Linked DNA regions of Caenorhabditis elegans. The protein of the gene in region 4 purifies or fractionates together with the protein of the main gene of each other region. This does not show direct contact. Each region holds a gene or a part of one and is shown on either strand. Other genes may lie near its edges. The genes, in order: cey-2, car-1, cey-4 and gld-1.

Region 1 (4,274 bases), 2.1 Mb from region 4:
CAAAAAGGGGATCTGCGAAAAGGGGAGATACGAAAAGGGGAGCAACGAAAAGGGGAGCTGGCACTGTGCCAAACGCTATTTTTCTCGAAGAAAACGATACAACGATGCTCCGATGTTACGCGTCGCGTGTTGTTAAGCGTATCTTCTAGAAGAAAATTTCAAAAATCAACGCGCGTTGCGTGAGAAAATTGCGTTTTGTGCGTTTGGCACAGTGCCAGCTCCCCTTTTCGTTGCTCCCCTTTTCGTATCTCCCCTTTTTGCAGATCCCCTTTTCGTTCTGCTCCCCTTTTCGTGGGGCCTCTTTTTTGCCCTTTTCCGTAAATCGACACCAGCGCTACAGTAGTCATTTGAAGCATTACTGTAGTTTTCGCTACGAGATATTTTGCGCGTCAAATATGTTGCGCAATACGCATTCTCAGAATTTCGTGTTCCTGTAATATGTACGAGAAAACTAGTTTTTAAAACTAATTTATAAAAATACCCACTATTCAAAATGCACTGCCCGTTGACGCATTTTCCATGTTTTCCACAATCGGAGACTATGCTTCGAGCTGAACCTTCAGCTACCAATACGTGTCTGAAAATTGTGTTTTATTTGCTCTGACAAGTTGTTATCATTCCTTATTCAGAAATTAACTGTACCGATTGCATTTCACTGAAGTGATTGGATAACATTTTCCTTCAGAACAAACGAATCCCTCTCGACATTCTACCTAAACTAAACGTTTTGAAAATATTCATCAAAACTTGAAAACCTCGAATGAACAGAATGTAGATGGGGATTTGTTCCTACCAAAGCATTGCTTCTCTTCACAAGTAAATCCAACTGGGCACTCATACTCACCGAAAACAGGCGGACATCTGAATAGACGAAATTGTATTTCTCACTATTGCTCATGATTCGTTCACCTTTCTGCCGCAATGTGCAAAATAAAAGAACAGAATAAAAACAGTCGTCCTATGCGAATCATTGTACGAAACTAATCAATATGCCGAATAAGAATTGGTGACCTATTTTCATCAGAGATATCTCACTGATAAGATTTGAGAAGCTGATATGATGAGTCATTGTTATGAAATAAACATTCAATTTACCGGTAAACGGTTTTATTGAGAGGTTTTCTCATTACAAGCTGAGGCAATGTGGCATTGAAGAACAAGAGGGATAGGGACTTACAATAGCATGCATAAATTGGGAATATGATAAAGTGTACTATGTATATGTACAAAGGTACAAATTTGAGAAATAAGCATTAATGGATCTTAAATCTGAGCATCGATTGGCTGGGCTCCTAGGCCGGCTTCTCCAAGTGCAGAGTCGCAACGGTCAACCTTGGAAAGTCCAGCTTCCTCTGTGATGATCTTGGAACAAGATTTGGAGTCTGGAGAAGCAACGTCAGAAGCAGATTCGGAAGATTCAGTGACAGCCGATGAATCAGCGGCATCACCAGCTCCTTTCTGTTGGGCCTTCGACTTGCGATTTCTGTTCTTGCGTTGCTTTCTTGGCTTTTTCTTCTCAGCATCCGCCGACATCTCCTGTGGCTTGGCATCGGTCGACTGGGATTCCTCTCCATCGACAGAAGCTCTGGGCTTGCGGTTCTTGCGGAAGCGAGAGAGAAGCTTGTGGCGGTATCTGTAAAATAGGATTTAAAAACTTCCATGGTCAATATAAACCCTCACCTCGATCCAATGACATTGTCTCCGTTGGGTCCTGTTACGTTAGCAGCTTCTGGGCCATTCTTTCCCTCGACGAGATCGAAGAGAACCTCTTCATCGTCCCCGAGGGTACGGAGGTAGAACTTTTCAGTGGCTGACTTGGCAATGGCTGTCTGGTGAACAAAGATGTCCTTTTCGCCATCGTTGCGAGAAATGAAGCCATAGCGACGGAGAACAGAATACCATTTCACTTTTCCTTGAAGTCCGGTGGTAATGGCTGTCTTCGACTTCTGCTCTTCTTCCCACAGACGGATGCGCTCAGCAGTCGGCAGACGCTAAATTAAGTAATTACTAAATTAATTTAAATGTGTAACATACTCTTTTACGCATCTTCTCTTCGCTGTTGCTTGGCGTTGTCTTATCTTGAACAGAGAGCTCTTCGAGCTTCTGCTCGAGAGCTTCCTCTCCGATTTCGACAGCGGCGTTTGCGGTGTCCGACATAGTCGTAAATTTGGTTGAAGCAAGTGAGGTTGACTGTAAGAGGGTAACTTTTAATAAGTCATTAAACAAAAATTGGGTAAAGATTAAAAAGAATATTTAACAGAAGCTATGTGCTCATGCTCAAAAACGTAACCAAAACTAAAGTCGAAAATCAGCAGCAAAAAAATTTAGAAATGAGAAAAACAGCTCACGGCGCGTGAACTTCAAGCTGCAAAATCGAAATGAATGTTTTGGGCCGCGCATCTGCGAAGCTAATGGGTCCCGTACTACAGTAACCCGGTAACCTGCACATCTAACTTCGCGCGGTGTTTCAAACGCAATGCATGGTTAGGAAATTCCTAAACAATTTTTGGATTCTTTTCGTCAAATTTGTATCAGATTGTTTTGCAATATGCTATTTTACTATTTTCTATCATTTTGTCATCACTGTCTTGAATTTTTAAACGATTGTTTAACTGATTGATATGGATAGTATTGTTGGTATTAAATAGTTTATAATAATCACTGAAATTCTAAAATATTTCATTATTTAACATTCCCTCGTAAAGCGTATTATGATTTTTTGAAAGTTACGGAATTGAGATAGAAAAAATGGAATTAAGTTCTAAAGTTTAGATTTTCTCAATTGTTTTCCAGTTGTTTCCTATTGTGACACTCCTTAACTTTCCAATTTAAGGGAAATGTCTCTTTTTTATACATTAAGAGATTACTTTAAGAATATAAAAACGCTTTAGGCCCCGTGTGACAATCTAAATGTGTTTAATCCTGCCTCCAATTAGTACAACGAGTGTTCATTATAAATGTTCAAACGAATTCGGAATTTCTATTTCCAATTTTGTTTTTTTAATGGTGACTTTAGTTAATGTTCTCCGTGATGTTGTTCATGCTTTCTAAAAACTAATGTACTCTGCCCTTTCCAGAAATTGACGTCATAATACTCGCACAGTACTCTCAAAAAATTGATTTTCAAATCGTCCATTCTCTCCAACTTCATTTTCTATCCTCCACGTCTTTTCTGTGCATCCTCATTTTATATTGTGTTATTTTCATGTCTCTGATCGACCTGCGCCATTGATATTCTTTCTCAAACGGCCTCTCTTTACATCTCTGGGTCTCTTGCCTCTGGGCGTGAGGTTCCCGTTTTTTCTGCCGATTTTCTTCTCTTTCCGCTGTTCCATTCTACTCAAAATGGCACTGGAAGAAATAATGGATTTCGAGGGTTAGTTAATGCTTAATAATGAAGATAAATCTGAAATTGCCAAATTATAGAAGAAGAGGCTGGATGGAAGCACTTGCCACGAGAAATACGCAGAAATATTCTCACTCGACTACCATTCCCAGTAAGTGTTGCGAAATCATTTTGCTCAAATTTCCATCAAATCAGTTAGATAAAGAAAAAATCCGTTTGCAGGATAAACAAAACATGATGTTGGTCAGCTGGGAAAACTCTCAGATATGCTCAACTCTTCCAAATAAGCTTCACGAACTCGGAATTACGGAGCTTCCCTCTACAGCTGTTAGTTTTAATTGAATTACTTTGTTTATTCAACCCAGTTATTTTCAGAAAACTATTCTGATAATGAAATGGAAAAATGAGATTGGAAGAGTTGTGAGCAGAATGGTGGAGTTTCGAGGAACCTCACTGTGAGTATTCTTTGTTCAAAACTTCAAATTAAAAGAGAAAATTCAAAGTCTTAATAAATGTTCAGACGTCAAACTGAATGCCCCGATCATACTGCAGAAGCTATGCGAGCGTTTTTACGTATTTGGAGATTCTCAAAAATTAAGAGTATTGTCATCGAAATTGTAAGTTGTGGTAGAGATAGATTGGTTTAAACCATGGCTTATCAGCTGTAGTATCAGCTAACAAAAATTCAATTAATTTTCAGCCATGTTTCGAAGGATTATCAAGCATCTGGGAAGAAGGAATGGCTGAAGTAAAAACAAATATCGCCGTCCGAAGTTTTAACATCAGAACAAACGACTATCGTTTAGTAACAAAAGCATTGACAGCTCCAAAAAACAAAGGACAAGATATATCATTGTTGGCAAATGACCACGGAGGAATGGAAACTGCAGTATTTGACATTGACAAGTTCAAGTACGCCCGCAGTGTG
Region 2 (4,515 bases), 5.2 Mb from region 4:
GGCTGTTGAAATCAAAAATGTAAGTTATTCCACCTACACTGCTTGTAACTAGTTCAAATAACTTTTCAGTGCCTCATGAAGTCCACAAATTTCAAAAAATGGGAATTCTGCATGGGTATGAGTTTGGACGCTGCGAGAGTTTTCGATCCGAATGCCTCTGGATTCGAAATTTCCCGAGATGGAGGAGTTAAGGGAACTATTCGCTGTCTCTTCAAAGGGCATAGCGTCAAAATCGACTTTAGCCCCTGGAAGTTCGAGATCACCAAGGAATAATTTTATTATGTATTTTCTCTTTTAATGTTTAATTTATTTCTTTAATGTGTTCACTTCAATCAGTTTCGCTGAATAGTTTTTATAAAGTAACATTTGTTAGCTATTCTTTACGTATTTAGTCGCCAGAACAACTATCGAACTTTTTGAAATTACAGCAAACTTATACCAATATTTTTTGACACCTTACATGTCCAACTGGCTTCCAAGTTGTAGAAAGAAAACATCGAAGCAATGATACAAAACAAAAAGTTTATACGGGGAAATCACAATTTCTCAGGGCTTGTCTACCTAAGAATGAAGGGTTTGCAATATTATAGCAAATCTAAGAGAAGATCTTAAAAACAATTTCATATCTCCTAGAAGACAATCATAAAAGGCGGGGTGTGGGATGATAGGAGAGCAGGTGCAAACGATTTGACAGTTTAGTCACTGCAATTTTATTAAAATGACAAACTGAGGACAACAGAACGACATGCTTTAAAATTCACAAGCTAGAACTTAAAAAAACGGGGGAAGGGTCCAATCACTATTGTAGTGGGGGAAGAAAAAACATTGGGAATTTTTTGGATGGGAGATGTGTGTCGGTGGGTGGGTGCGCAATAATTATTACAAAATAACAGAAGGCCCGCATTGAATCGTACGAGATTTCTAAATAATTAACGGGTTTCTTATAACACGCCAATAGTTGAGAAGAGACAAGGGTAATCATTGATGGGGGGGGGGGGAGAATGGATAAACTTACATAATAAATTAACAAACGGCTAATATCGGGGTATGGGGATGTGGGGAGAAAACAATTTCAGGGAATTCGAACTTATTGTTCGGCAGCTGCGGCAGTATTGCCTTGGTTGTCACGTGGAGCATATCCACCACGACGGTATCCACCGTTGTTCTGACGATAACCTCCATTGTATCCTCCACGGTGCTGGTGTTGATGCTGGTATCCGTTGTTGTAACCTGAAAATTGAGCATAAGACGTTGTAACTTCTAAAGTGGAACTATACCTCCATATCCGCGGTTTCCACCACGTCCTCGTCCTCCGAATCCACGACGGTAGTTCAACGAACGCACTGCGTTGTGTCCGAACGTCTCCTGATTCGTTTCTCTCTCCTTCTTCCAATCTGGCCGTCCAGTCTTTCCTTCGGCTTTCTCCAGTGATTCACAGCTGATGTTGTCAAAGAATGAAGTCTTCTTGTCGTAGAAGGCAGCATCCTTCTTCTCCTCAACTTCTGGCTCGGCCTTATCCTCAATGTTGAGCTTCTCAAGGTTGTCGACGAGAACTTCTTGGAACTTCTCATTGGCCTTCTCGAAGTCAAAGTCCGATTCGAACTTCAGCTTTTCGCGGTGATTAACTCGAGGAACTCCATAATTGTTGTGCCCTCTTTGGTTGTTGTATCCGCCAGCGAATCCTCCGCGGTAGTTGTTGTATCCACGGTTAGCTTGGAAGTCTGAAAACATGATCATAAATCCAGAGTTGATTTGAAAGAAAATAAAACTGACTTTGCTGATAACCTCCACGTCCTGGACGTTGATTTTGGATGATTTGGCCTAACGGACTGTTACGGGATGGCGTTCCGGCTCTGGAAGAACCTGCAGAGGCAGCTGGAGCTCCGTCACTTGCTGGGGCTGATCTCGAGGAGACAGAGATGATGGCTGGATCGTATGGAAGCCCTCCTCCAATGTTGGCCATCTGAAAAGACATTATTTAGATCAATGAAGCTCGATTATCCGGCAACTCGCCTTCGGAGTATCACAAACGATCAAATCCTTGATGTCGCTGGCCTTGAAGATGATGTACTCGTAGACATCATCACGAGCGGCGACCGGATTAGCAGTTGGACGCTTCTCGGTTCCGAACGAGCGAACCTTGGCCAACGCGATGGTAGAGTCGTTGGTGTCGACGGTGTAGAGGATTCCCTCGTAACGGATGTCGAGCTTGGAGATCAGACTAATCTTGCTTCCGATGTACGGTGTTTGATTCGACATTATTACCTGCAAAAATGTAATATAATTTAAGTTTCACAACGTTTGAAGAAAGACGAAGAGCAATATTGTCGGGAATAGGAGAATAAATTAACAACTGAAACCGTGTAAATGTGCGCTTCTATCAATCCTAAAACAAAATCTTGCGGAATACTACGAAAAATGTCGAAGCGATCTCAATTGTGTCGAGAAACCTTAGAAATTAACCTAATTGGCCTAAAATCGATACGGAGGTGTCAATAAGTCTTAGAGGAACATCAACGATAATATACAAGGATAACACTGACAGTTTAAAGCCCTAATTTCTTATAAGAAGTGGGAAAAGCTGCAAAAGTTTAAAAGTAAAATGCGAAGCCGTCATCGTTATCGATTCTGCGCCGATGGAGCGTGATTGCATCCGTCTGCCCACTTATTTTATGAGGTACTGCGCAGCCACGGCCGTACCATTGCAGTAAAAATAATTTTGAGTATTAAGAACCGAAAACTCACTAATTGAACTTCTCAAACAGCTAAAAATCGGCAGAAGAAATAAAAGGTAAGCTCAAACTTGAAAATCACAAAAAATGGGAAGTTTCTATCAAAATTCGCAAAATTTAATGATTCTAAGCTGTAACTTTAAGTTCATCACGTCAAAAATAATTATTTTAGCAATAAAACATTGAAAATTTCCCTAGAAAATCAAAAAAAATAACGAAAAATCAACAATTTTGCGAAGAAAACAACAAAAATCCTAAAATGGCGCTGCACCCCAATCCCATTTAAAGGCGCATGTTTTGCTATAGGTTTTTGTGGGTCTCGCCACGATTCTGCAAATCTTGGCACCGTGCCAACTCCGTAAATCGACACTAATTATTTTTCAAAATTTAAATGAAATAAAATCAATTTTTGTGCGAATTTATTGAATTTTCTCGTTTTTTTGTGATAAAATTGTGAAAAAGACTGAAATTTACTTAAATTTTATTGTTTAAAACTAGTTATATCTTCTAAAATCAATTTTTATTCGATTTTTCAGGCAAACTCCCGCGAAAAATGGCCGGAATCACCGCACACTCCCAATCCCAACAATTTGAAGAAGACGAATTCAACGAGATAAAGAAGACCGGTGTATCGTGTGATCGTCTACGTCAAGCACTCAAAAAATGCATCAAAAACTCGCATTGTGTGCAAGTTCAAGCTCGATCTGCGAAGGAATGCATCGATGCACGTGGCGACGGAAGTGTACCCGACAAATGTTTCGCCGTTCTCCAAAATTTCACCGACTGCAAGCGATCACTGGTGGACATGAGATCGAGATTCCGAGGAAGGAAGGGCGATCTTTGAGCGAATAATTCGAAAATTTTCATATTTTTTGTTACTTTCTTTTTAGGATTTCAGCTTTCTCTATAATATAATACGTGTATAAATCTATTTTCCAGGAAGAATGTGTTAAAAACTTGAGAATTATCATCGTATCGCTAAGCTGGGCCTGTGGATTCGGCTTTTGGGAATTTCCCGCAAAATATTGAACTTTTCGCCTAATTGGCTGCCATATGACTCCGGAACTCTCGACTTTTGTCAAAAAATTCGAAATTTTCGAATTTTCGCCCACTTGAATCCGAAATTTCGCACATTCTTCGCCATTTTCTTGCCAGTTGTTCTAAAAACTTCCAAAAAAGGAAGCAAAGAACCCAATCAAACGTGTATATTTATTTCATCATGTATAGGAACAGTAATAATAATACGAAAGCAGTGACGGGGAGAAGAGAAGGAACGCAGAAAAAATTAAAGAAATTGCAATAAATCGTATATCTGGGGGATTTCGATCGATAATCAGGGAAACACTCGGAATTGGAACAAAAAAAAGTCGAAAAAAGTTGGAAATAAAAATGTTGCCTACCCAGTAGCAGCGGAAGAATAAATAAAATCTGGAACAAAAAAAAAGAAATCCGGGGAAAGAAAGAAATGAATCGATTTTTGTATCACAGGCGGGGAGGGGGAAAGGGTGGGATTTTTGAAGCGGAAAATTGGTGAAAATGGAGAATTTCCACAATTTCCACGAGATATGTACACGAAAAAAAATGATATTAGGAGAAAAACGGGGGAATTTTAAAGCAATAATCAATAATTAGAATGATATTTCCATTTCCACAGACACTTTTAAAATTGCAAATGTTCAGAAAAATCCACGTAGAGAGCCGATTCGAGTCGGGCCACGGCGTTTTTGTAGGTAAGGCTTCCGGAGAGAGCGTGAGCGTCGCGGAGTGTGTTCTGGAAAAAATT
Region 3 (4,574 bases), on a different chromosome or scaffold from region 4:
GAATTTTGCCATCTAGTAAAACAGAAGTTGAATTTCTGGTCAATTTGCCTAAAATTGGTCAGGAAATTCAATTTTTTTTTCCGAAATTTTGAAAACGAAATTCTAATTTAAATAATTTGCCCCCATTTTCAGAATCGACTATGTGCACCGAATGGCTCATCACCGAGTATTCCGACGAACCCAGGAACAGTGCAAGGCGTTCGTCACCGGAATGCAATCGATCCTTCAGCCGACGTGGCTGTCACTGTTCGCTCCGAATGATTTGCAATGTCTGATTAGTGGAGTCAATTCGTGAGCATAATATATACCATTAATTTGAAATTTCGAGAATTAATATTCCAGAGACATCGATCTGGCGGATCTGAAGCGCAATGTGCAATATTTCGGAGGATTCCATGGAAACCATCGGCTTATTAAATGGCTTTGGGATATTCTTGAGAACAAGTTCACTTCAGAAGAGAGGAAACTGTTCCTAAAGTTTGTCACTTCTTGCTCGAGACCTCCTGTTCTTGGATTTTCGTATCTCGAGCCGCCCTTCTCCATTCGATGCGTTGAAGTTTCCGACGATCAGGATCAGGGAGACACCTTGGGAAGTGTGGTTCGTGGATTCTTGGCTTTGAGAAAGGGAACTGCAGCTACTCGACTTCCAACTGCGTCCACCTGCTTTAACTTGCTAAAGCTTCCGAATTACAATAAGAAGTCACTGCTGCTCGAGAAACTTCGTTACGCGATCCACGCTGGGACTGGATTCGAGCTTTCCTAAATTCCTAATTATTTATTACATATTTTTATTGCTTACTGGTAGTTTGAATTTGATTTCTATAAAACAATGAACAGAATCATTTGCATTGAAACTTTTACTTAATATAAACTCAAAAAGTTCTCGAAATTGAATTCCAAAGAACTGAGTGGATATAAATCGTGCAGAACAAATTTTGGAAATTTTGGGCTTTTCGAAAGGATCAGCTATACAATTCAAGAAATGGGACTGTTCTCAATACAAAAGGTGTTTAATTAGATAACAAAAGTTGATGGTAGGTGTCAACAGCTAGAAGCCTAAGCTTTAGCTGGAGCAGCGGTCTCTTCCTTCTGCTCAGTGGTGGTGGTGGGCTCTTTATTTCCCTTGCGCTGACGTTTCTTCTTCTTCTCGGCGGCTGGAGCAGCATCGGTAGTGGCAGCGGCAGCATCACCGTCTCCCTTCTCGCCGGATGGAGCATCTGGCTGGAGCTTTCCGTGGCGGCGAGTGCGACGCTTTCCGCGAGTTTCTCCGTCTCCGCTGAAAAATTGTAATTTTAGAGTTAAAATTCCAGTTTTAAATGGAACGTATAGACCAGGGGTGTGCGGCAAATTTGCCGAATTTGCCGAGCTCGGCAAATTTTGAGATTTGCCGCACACCCCTGGTATAGACCCAAAATGTGCAAATTGCATAATAAAACTTCTTTAAAATTTGAAAAAATGGGCTAACGTCCAATTTGGCCACTTTCTGTCCAAAAATGATTTTTTTTTTCGGAATTATCTACCTTTATTGCATATTTTGCTCGTTTATCTCACATTATTTCGTTGATTAAAGTAGTTTTTACACCAATAGGTAACCAAAAATGCCAAAAATCAACGAACTAATATGAGATAAACGACTAAAATATGCAATAAAAGCAGATGATACCGAAAATATCAACTTTCGGCGGCCACTTTGAGATTTTACTTAATTTCAGCCCATTTTTCATTTTTTTTTTTAAATAAATCGGTTTATTTGAGCGCATTTTGAGCCTAAAAACACCAGAACCGTTACTAAAAGCTAGACTAACCTATTCTCAATGGTGTCCGACTTCTCCTTCTCATCTTTCTCATCTCCGTCCTGGTCACGTGTCTGACGTGGAGCACCACGTCCTCGTCCACCGCGTCCTCGTGCACCACCACGTCCTCTTGTTCTCCAATGGGTGAGCAAAGTACGAGCGAATCTCGATCCACGAACATTCTCCCCATCTGGTCCAGTCACGTTGGCGGCTTCTGGTCCTTTGAGTCCTTCGACAATGTCAAAGACGACTGGCTCATCGTCATCGAGAGTTCTGAGATAGAACTTAATGGTGCTTGACTTGGTGATGGCGGTCTGATGGACGAAGAAGTCCTCATTCTCGTCGGTTGGCTTATCACGAGCAACGAATCCGTAGCGTCCACGAACGGAGAACCATTTGACGTGTCCTTTGACACCGGTCTCGATGACCTTCTTCGATGCAAGATCCTCCTCGAGCTTCTTCATCTGATCCTCATATGGTGGTCTTGGTTGGTAGAAGTGTCCTCCGCGACCACGACCACGTCCTCGTCCGCGGAATCCGCCACGACGTGCTGGCTGCTTTGCATCGTTCGCCTCGTTGGTAGTGTCGACGGCCAGGTTGTCCAATTTCTCGGTCACCTCGGCAACTGCAATTTGAGGGATTAAATATTGAAGACCACCTGTCCTACTCACCTTTGTCCTTCTTCTCCTCAATAGTTGTTCCGTTAGCTTGTTCAGTCGACATGATGTTTCACGGCGTTGGCCTTAGTTTTTGATGGTGTCAAGGGGGTGAGGAAAATCCTCTGAGCTGATTGTACTCAACTACACTCTGCAAAAAAAAAAAATTAAATATAAACATCGAATGCAAATGTGCCACACAAAGGGTGTGGTGGAAAATGACACGACAGAACGATCGATAAGTCAAATTGACATGGGGCGGAAATGTTATCATCCGATTAAAAAGTGCTAAGCGCCGTTGTTTTTTTTTCAAATTTATTGGAAATCGGAACGAACTTAATGGAAAAAATCGGGGAAATATTGCAAAAAAGCTCTTACAATTTCGAAATATATCGAGAATTTTAGGATATTTCCTCATATTATCACAATTTTTCTGTTTAATATTCAATTTAACGCCAAAAAACCGAAGAAACGACGGCAATTTTCAATTTTTCACCAAAAAATAAGAAAGAACTAATAAAAATCGACTGCCAAGAAGGGAGAAAACGTCTTATTTGAAAAATGGTGCTGTGCTCGCAATAGAGAAACGCGCGCGCATTGCAAGGAAACGCAACACCCTGGCACACTTTTTCTCGGATTTACTCTTTCTTATCCGCTTTTAGCTTCCTCTTTGGGAAAAATCGATTGGAATAATTAGATTTTCGAGTGGTTTTTCACAGGATTTACAGAAAAATCGATACTGCTACTTGAAATTTAAATTAATTTTGCTTGCTTCCGCTGGTTTTTTAAATTAAAATACTAACAAATTAACAATTTCAGAGGTGAAAGCTTGGCGAGAAATGGACCGATTTAAGGAACAACTAGCAAAAACTGTTAATCAAATAGGCGAACAATTTTCTTCGGATAGCGATGTAAAAGTGGGAATTTTTTCAAGGAAAATGTCAAATATTAAATCGACTTTTCAGGTTTTATTAGATAATATGAACGAGAAAGTTATGAGCTCTTACGATGCTCCGTCGTGCTCGGAAAGCCCTCCAATAGCTCCAGAGAGTAATTCACAAAACTCAACGCCTCGGAGAGTAAAATCAAAAATTTCCGAGGAAGATGACGTCATCAACTCGATAGACGCCGCGTATTTTATAGATAACGATGAGTTCGATGCGATTGACTATGAATTGAAGGTTTAGTGGAACAAAAAACCAAGTAAAACGAAAATTTTAACTTTTAGAAGCTCTGTGACATCGAAATGTGCTACGAGGACATCCAGCGCGAGAGGTTTCGGCTAAAATCTCAGCATACTGTGGTTTCCAAGAAAATATCCACACTAATCATGCAAAAATCTTCATCCTACACGGCACAGGTCGGTGAAATGGAGAAAATCCGAGACGAAGTCGGAAGTGTTATCAACGAAATTCTGACGATACGAAAAGCGCTCGCGCTGGCGACAAGCCAAACTCGGACGTGTCTCGGATTAATCGCTTATAAAAATAAGAAAATCGTTCTAAATCAGCTGAAAATGACGCTCACAACGATAAAAGGCTTCCACGAGACCGAACAGCACATTCGAGAAACTATTGAAGAAGGAAATTTCCCGCTTGCAATTCAAATGCTAATCGAAACTCAAATAAAAGCCGGGGGATACGCTCATTTTACATGTGTAAAGTAAGTATTAAATGGATTTTTGAATGAAAATGAGAAAAAAAAAATGCTCAAAAATCGAAAAAAGCGGCTGAAAATTCACATTTTAAGCTAAAAATCCCAAAAACTTTCGAAGACCTTTTAAAGGCGCACGTGTTTTTCAAGATGGGTCTCGCAGCGAAAAAGGTTTATGGTAATTATTTTTTAAACATTTTCTTTAAGTTTTGAATTATTCTTGTTGAAAATGATCATTTTTTTACCGTTTTAAGCCGATTTTTTGGGCAAAAATAGGTGGAAATCAATATAACGCCTGAAATTTAAACGTGGAAAATAGTTTTAAAGTGAAAAAACGATTTTTTTTGTTAATAACTCAAAAACTAAAAAATGTTCGAAAAATGTAGAAACTTACTTTAAATTATTCAATCTAAAAAAGCTTAAAATTTTGACCAAATTTGGCTTAAACTAACTTTTTTGAATGTTAAATTCT
Region 4 (5,566 bases):
GAGAAATTTGTGCGATCGTATTTTTTCGATAATAATAGTTCAAGAGTAAATTTCATCAATAGAAGCAATCTTCACACCATCTGCAAGTTTTTGAGTTTTTCGAGCTTTTCTAAACATTAAATTGAATGCAACAATATCTGCAGGACTCCAGAATACACTATTCGCCTTATTTTTGGGAAATACTCCACCCATTTTCAATGTTTTAACCGGGCCAAATCGTTCCTAGAAAATAATTTTTAGTTGTGAAAATATTCGAACCTCCACTTTAGCAATTTCTGCATTTTTCTTTGAAGATTTTTCGAAAGTTTTTCTCTTTACTTCTTCAATTCTCTCTTTTTTATATTCATTCAACGCATTGACCACCGGTTTACTATATTCACACTTTTCAGAAAACATCATTCTTTTACATTCTTCCTCTTTTCTAATTCCTTTAAGTCCTGCAATAAAATCATCGTGCATATGCCAATTTTGAACTGTGCTCTGAAATATTATTATTTAGACGATCCTGATAAAATAACCGATAACAAATACCATTAAATGACGCCTCCGGACGTTTTTTTGTTTCTCAATGTTAACCGAATTGTTCACCAGGAGTAAAAGGAAAATTAACATAATTGCAGCTGCAGGCCATACGAAAAGTTCTGATAATTTTAACTGGCGATTTTTTTTACAGAACATCACATACTGAGTAATTCGATAACTCCATCAACTCTTGGATTATCATCAAAATCCTCTTCGGATTGGAAACAGTTTGAATCCCTGCTCACGTGAAACATTTGAAGAAATGAAAATGTTTCTAACTAATGTTTCCTTTTTAATCGTTTTAAAACATGAACTGGAAGAAAAATTGAATAAAAACTATTTTTTATTATTTTATCTCGCCCTGTATTTCAATTTCAAAATTCAAAATTTTGGTCTCAAAAACAGGGTACCGAGAAAATGGTCAATGTGAAAGACTGCTAAAAATATTAGCTCTTGGACTTGTGCTTAAAATTATAATGGACAGATTGGGAAGGGGTAGGGGTTTAGAATGGGGACTTGGGGCTGGTTTGATGGGGATGTGAGATTTGAACATATCTAACTAGCGGGAAAGAAAATTAAAATCTCAAGTTACTAAAAATTTAGAAAAGATGAAAAATTTTTGATGACTACATCAAACCGGGAAGATTCTACAGGGGTTAGCGTTAAGATAACACAGAAAAATAAAGGGGGTGCTTTGGCATTCGAGGTAGTATGAATGGGTAGGGGAATAGCTGCATCAATAAAAGTATCAATGAGTATTCTCCAAAATGGTTATCCTGATAAGATGTTATTACCGGGGCACCTGCCGTTTTTCTCTGATGTTAAAATATCTTTTCAAGATCTGCGAAGAAAGGGAAAAGATACTTAAAAATCAAAGAGCATATGGTGAAAGCAGCAGGGCGAGTTTAAATTACAGAAAGGAATTAATGGTATTAGGTATCTCATTACATAATTATTACTAACTGTATGTGTATGCTATTCCTAAAGGAGTGAGATGGTAGATACCAATTGATGACATGATAAAGATGGGGGAGATGAGAGGGGGAAAAAATGGCAACATGATGTATGGCACATGATTCTATGGTAACCTAAAATGGTGAGAACGAACAAAACAAAGGGAGTGTGAGTTATAAATGTGAACTTTTTAGAAAGAGGTGTTGTTGACTGAAGAAGCCGAGGGACTTGCTCCACTCGGGGACACATTGGTGTTTGTTTGATTGGCAAAAGAAGATGCAGAAGTGAAAAGACCAGGGAATGAGTTGACAAACGAAGTGGTTGTTGGGTACTTCGGGAACGTCAAATCACTTGCAAGTTGAAGAGAGCTGAATGAATCAAACATGCTCGGGCTCAGAAGCGAGTAATCGAAGACGTTAGATCCGAGAAGGTTGGATGCAGTGAGAGTGGGGCTCTGAAATTAAAAATATGAAACTTAAACTGAAGAACTGTTCTACCAAGATCGATCCTCCAAATGTCGTTGACGGGAGTCCTGATCCAGGAGTTGGCGACATCAAAACTGGACCTGAACTACGTAGTGGAGTTGGAGAGAGCAGAGGAACTGCAGTCATCACACGAGCTGGGTTTGGCGACTTCATTGGACGATACGTACCGTTGATGATTGCAAGTTCCATAAGTTGTTTTCTCTTCAGCTCGTCAGTTCCCTCGGGCTGAAAATAGGTTATTGTAGAGATTTTACGAAGCATATAACTCACAGCCGGAATGAGCAACTTCTTGACCTGTTCGAGTGCTGCTTGCAATTTGATGTGAACACGATTCTCAGTGTCTTCGCATTGCACAAGAACGTGCAGATCGTCTTCGAGATGCTCCCAATTGGCCTTTCCACGGTGAGCACTTTCCTTCAACAACTAAACTTTGTTTTAGATAAAATTGTAACAAGATCAAACCTTTGACTTGTCCCGCATTGATCCCTTTCCTCGGACCATAATCTTGCATCCAGTGTCCTGCTCAAGCTGCTTGGCGGTCATCCCACGTGGGCCGAGAATTCTACCGACGAAGTTATACTGAAATGTTTTAGTTGTTCGAAAACTTGAAATTCGTTAAATTACGTCTGGGTATTCGTTCTTTGGAACATAAATCTTCTCAGTGATCGAAATCATGTCTCCAGCAGGCTCAGGAAGCTCAACTCTCGGAAACTCAGTTTGGAACAAAGCCACGCGGACACGACCGATTTCTAAAATAAAATAATTACTTGTAGGAACACAGAGCGGTTATGTACCATCATCCAACAAACGTTCAACATTGCTGAACATATGAGGAAAGAGCGTAAGATGTTTCTTCTCTTTAACCAGATCAGCCAAGTACTCGACAGTTGCCTCAACCTCGATTGGTTCTGTAGCTGTTGGAGAGAACAGGCCTGAAGAAATTACAGAAAAATAAGTAGACATGAGATTGTTTCATACTCTTGTCCATCGATGATTTTCCATAACTCATTGGAGTTGCAGGAAGAGTCGGGGAAAAGATACTTCTGCTCTTTGGATTGAACATGGCTGGCGACAAAAGCGAATTAGGTGTTTGACTGTAAGCGCTCGAAATCGGGGACATGATGTGTCTGTTGTTCGTCGATAGCGTCAGACGAGCTGGTGGTGGCGCTCTAACAGAGCTCTGAAAATTTTTTATTACTGTAATTGATGAACAAAATGAAAATTCGCGTACCCATCCGTCTCGCCGAGTTGACGGCCAACGATCCGCTGGAACATTGTCGATGATGGGGAATCTCTTCCGTGGACTATTGTCTCCATCCAGAGACGTTGGCGTCATAACGGACGAACGAGATGGCGATTCAGAGCTTTGGCTTTCTAGTTGGGTCGAAACACCGTAAGTTGGAGTGGTGCACGACGGCATTCTTCGATGGTTAACCTGTAAGAAAACTTAGTAATAATATATTTTTCAATAACGTAACGACATAAGCTTAAACTCTGCGGCGATTCGCTCATCTAGCTTATCTAACGAATATTCACTAGAATTTCGGAATGAAACATTCGAGGAAAATGTGAAAGTGGTCATATTCAAATAGAAATAATTATTTCTAAAATTTTTAGATGAAACGAAATATAAAACAACCAAAAAGCATCGAAAAAATAAAACTCTAAAAAGTTTTGAGGTGAAGTCCTAAATTTCGAAACTTTTACCGTATACCTGTTTGCGATCGCTGCGAGACCCATACGTCGCGGTGCAACATGTTCCTTTAAGTTCCAGAAATGCGCGCACGGGTGGCGAAACGGCAGGAATTGGCCACGCCTATTAAGCCGTGCGCTGATTTGCATGAGGCTTTTCAGAATTTAATTGAATACTTTCAATTCAGAGTTTTATAAAATGAATCGAATTTATTTAAACAGGAAAATAAATAAAAAACACTTGTGTATCTCAATTTATCGACGCTGGTTGTTGAAACGTCTTCGATATTTTGGTTTTGATTCTTCACATTCTTCAATTGGTGGTGGAAGACCTGCAGCTTCAGCAGCAGATATTTGAAGAAGGAATCGTTTTTTCTTTTCAGTCTCCAAGATATTGGTGATACGAGTGCTAATTCCCAGGTCCACTTCTGGGATTCCTGCGAGCATATGCTCTGAAAGCAATTCTGTCTCCTTTTTGCTTTGATTTCCCTTCACTTTTCCAGCAGCTTGTTTCAAAAGCTCTACATCACGATCTTCTGCATTCAGCGATGAAAATTTAGCTGCAGCTGATGAAGAAGGTTGTTTCTGTTTTTCAATTTTAGAAGTATCAGCTGTATATTCTTGAAGTCCGTCATCAATATATTTCCTTAATTCTTCATGTTCATCTCTCAGCATTGTTTCCTTCTCGAATTGTTCTCGGAGTCCTTGTTCAATGCTTGCAGCTTCCATTGCTGCCTTCTTTTTACTTGTCATCACCATTCCGCCACCAGCCATTTGAATTCCATCCTCGAGAGCTGCAGCTTTTGAAATTCCAACTGCGCATTCTAATTCTGTGAGACCATTTTTCCTTTCTCGTGATCGTTGAAGATCTCGAATATCGGAAACTCTTGACGACTCTTCTGGAAAAAAAAATTTAGAACATTAAAAATTTTAATGCATGTTATGCTCTTAAGTTATCATTTGCTTTAAAAACAATTATTTTATCAGATTAAAAATTAAATACCATCAGCAGCAACGTCGTCGTCTTCTAAAATTTTCCTTTTTTGAATTTTTGATTTTGGTTTTCTGAAGATATCGGCCATTGTGTTCGTTGATGCTTAAAGTTTAAAAATTAAATAGCATTCAAATTTTAGAAAAAAGTTTTCAAAGTGTAAATGTAACATTTTTCTGAATCAGAACAGTTTTTCAAATAATCAAACTGTGTGAGATTGTTGGATGCAATAAAATTTATACATATCTGGTCACATCGGTACAGAAAAACTGGGATTACTGAAAAAGAAGTTGTGAAAAAGTTTTGATTTTGTGAAAAACAAGACCCAAATGATAAAAAATTATCAAAAAAAGTGAAAACAAATGACATGAAAAGTGAAGATGGTAAAGAGAAATTATGCCCGGATTTTTTGTGATTAAAGTTAACAAAAACGAATGATAAAGCTAATATAAATGTCAAAAAGAAGGGGAGTGTGAGTTAGGGGTAGATATGGAATATGGAAAATATGCACATTTATTGACTTGAGGAAGGAAAAGACTAAGAATTATTGATTGATTCCACTTAATTCTGCAAATGTGCCCTATTGATATGCAAAAATAATTTTGAAAGAAATACAGTACTTTGTGAAAATATATTATAAAAAAGAAGCACATTCGAATTCCCCGTTACCGAATGCTGTGATATTGATAAAGTATCAAAACAGAACAATTCTACAAAAGTACATTCGATCTAGAGTGAATCATATTTCATAACTTCTTTGCTCAGTGACTCCATTTCCAGACGAGCTCGAAGATCAGCACAAGTAGATCGAAGACGTGTAATCTCTTCTAACAGGGCACTTCGTGCAGCTTCTTCCAATTTGCACCTGAAACTAATTTTTATATGTAAATCTTATAAGGAACTCGCTAACCGCTCCGTCCAT

What was found.
Region 1: the proteins of gld-1 (region 4) and cey-2 purify together in Caenorhabditis elegans (affinity purification with mass spectrometry, with the first as the bait; 2 studies listed by BioGRID). This does not show direct contact.
Region 2: the proteins of gld-1 (region 4) and car-1 purify together in Caenorhabditis elegans (affinity purification with mass spectrometry; 2 studies listed by BioGRID, with this or other methods). This does not show direct contact.
Region 3: the proteins of gld-1 (region 4) and cey-4 purify together in Caenorhabditis elegans (affinity purification with mass spectrometry, with the first as the bait; 2 studies listed by BioGRID). This does not show direct contact.

Annotation. Positions count from the first base shown.
Region 1 is NC_003279.8:5,617,485-5,621,758, reverse strand, and holds cey-2 (CSD domain-containing protein), read right to left. Parts: upstream 2,191-4,274; 5' UTR 2,158-2,190; coding exon 2,035-2,157; intron 1,992-2,034; coding exon 1,681-1,991; intron 1,634-1,680; coding exon 1,264-1,633; 3' UTR 1,091-1,263; downstream 1-1,090. Other genes in the region: F46F11.7 (Tenascin), read right to left, coding at 486-577, 643-713, 756-861, 910-971; xrep-4 (F-box domain-containing protein), read left to right, coding at 3,346-3,376, 3,427-3,497, 3,569-3,673, 3,722-3,801, 3,867-3,963, 4,047-4,274.
Region 2 is NC_003279.8:12,902,220-12,906,734, reverse strand, and holds car-1 (Protein LSM14 homolog car-1), read right to left. Parts: upstream 2,266-4,515; 5' UTR 2,260-2,265; coding exon 2,014-2,259; intron 1,964-2,013; coding exon 1,774-1,963; intron 1,722-1,773; coding exon 1,278-1,721; intron 1,231-1,277; coding exon 1,088-1,230; 3' UTR 695-1,087; downstream 1-694. Other genes in the region: coa-5 (Cytochrome c oxidase assembly factor 5), read left to right, coding at 3,286-3,576; Protein pad-1, read right to left, coding at 4,393-4,503. UniProt on the Caenorhabditis elegans protein: Transcriptional regulator. Involved in modulating embryonic expression of ATP-dependent chaperone cdc-48.1. May play a role in mRNA gene silencing, and RNA granule (P-body) assembly.
Region 3 is NC_003281.10:10,866,104-10,870,677, forward strand, and holds cey-4 (CSD domain-containing protein), read right to left. Parts: upstream 2,601-4,574; 5' UTR 2,517-2,600; coding exon 2,465-2,516; intron 2,419-2,464; coding exon 1,806-2,418; intron 1,277-1,805; coding exon 1,057-1,276; 3' UTR 843-1,056; downstream 1-842. Other genes in the region: oxi-1 (Ubiquitin-protein ligase E3B), read left to right, coding at 133-291, 343-763; vps-50 (Vps54_N domain-containing protein), read left to right, coding at 3,289-3,366, 3,415-3,630, 3,678-4,111.
Region 4 is NC_003279.8:7,693,511-7,699,076, reverse strand, and holds gld-1 (Female germline-specific tumor suppressor gld-1), read right to left. Parts: upstream 3,397-5,566; 5' UTR 3,382-3,396; coding exon 3,193-3,381; intron 3,142-3,192; coding exon 2,940-3,141; intron 2,894-2,939; coding exon 2,756-2,893; intron 2,711-2,755; coding exon 2,586-2,710; intron 2,541-2,585; coding exon 2,424-2,540; intron 2,376-2,423; coding exon 2,232-2,375; intron 2,187-2,231; coding exon 1,974-2,186; intron 1,931-1,973; coding exon 1,667-1,930; 3' UTR 855-1,666; downstream 1-854. Other genes in the region: T23G11.10 (uncharacterized protein), read right to left, coding at 40-222, 265-480, 532-641, 686-776; T23G11.4 (Hepatocellular carcinoma-associated antigen 59), read right to left, coding at 3,909-4,552, 4,657-4,735; rlbp-1 (Rho-GAP domain-containing protein), read right to left, coding at 5,374-5,509, 5,555-5,566. UniProt on the Caenorhabditis elegans protein: RNA-binding protein which recognizes the 5'-UACUCAU-3' RNA consensus sequence. Binds sequences in both the 5'coding and the 3'-UTR region of rme-2 mRNA. Binds sequences in the 3'-UTR region of cye-1 mRNA. Binds to cyb-2.1, cyb-2.2 and cyb-3 mRNA.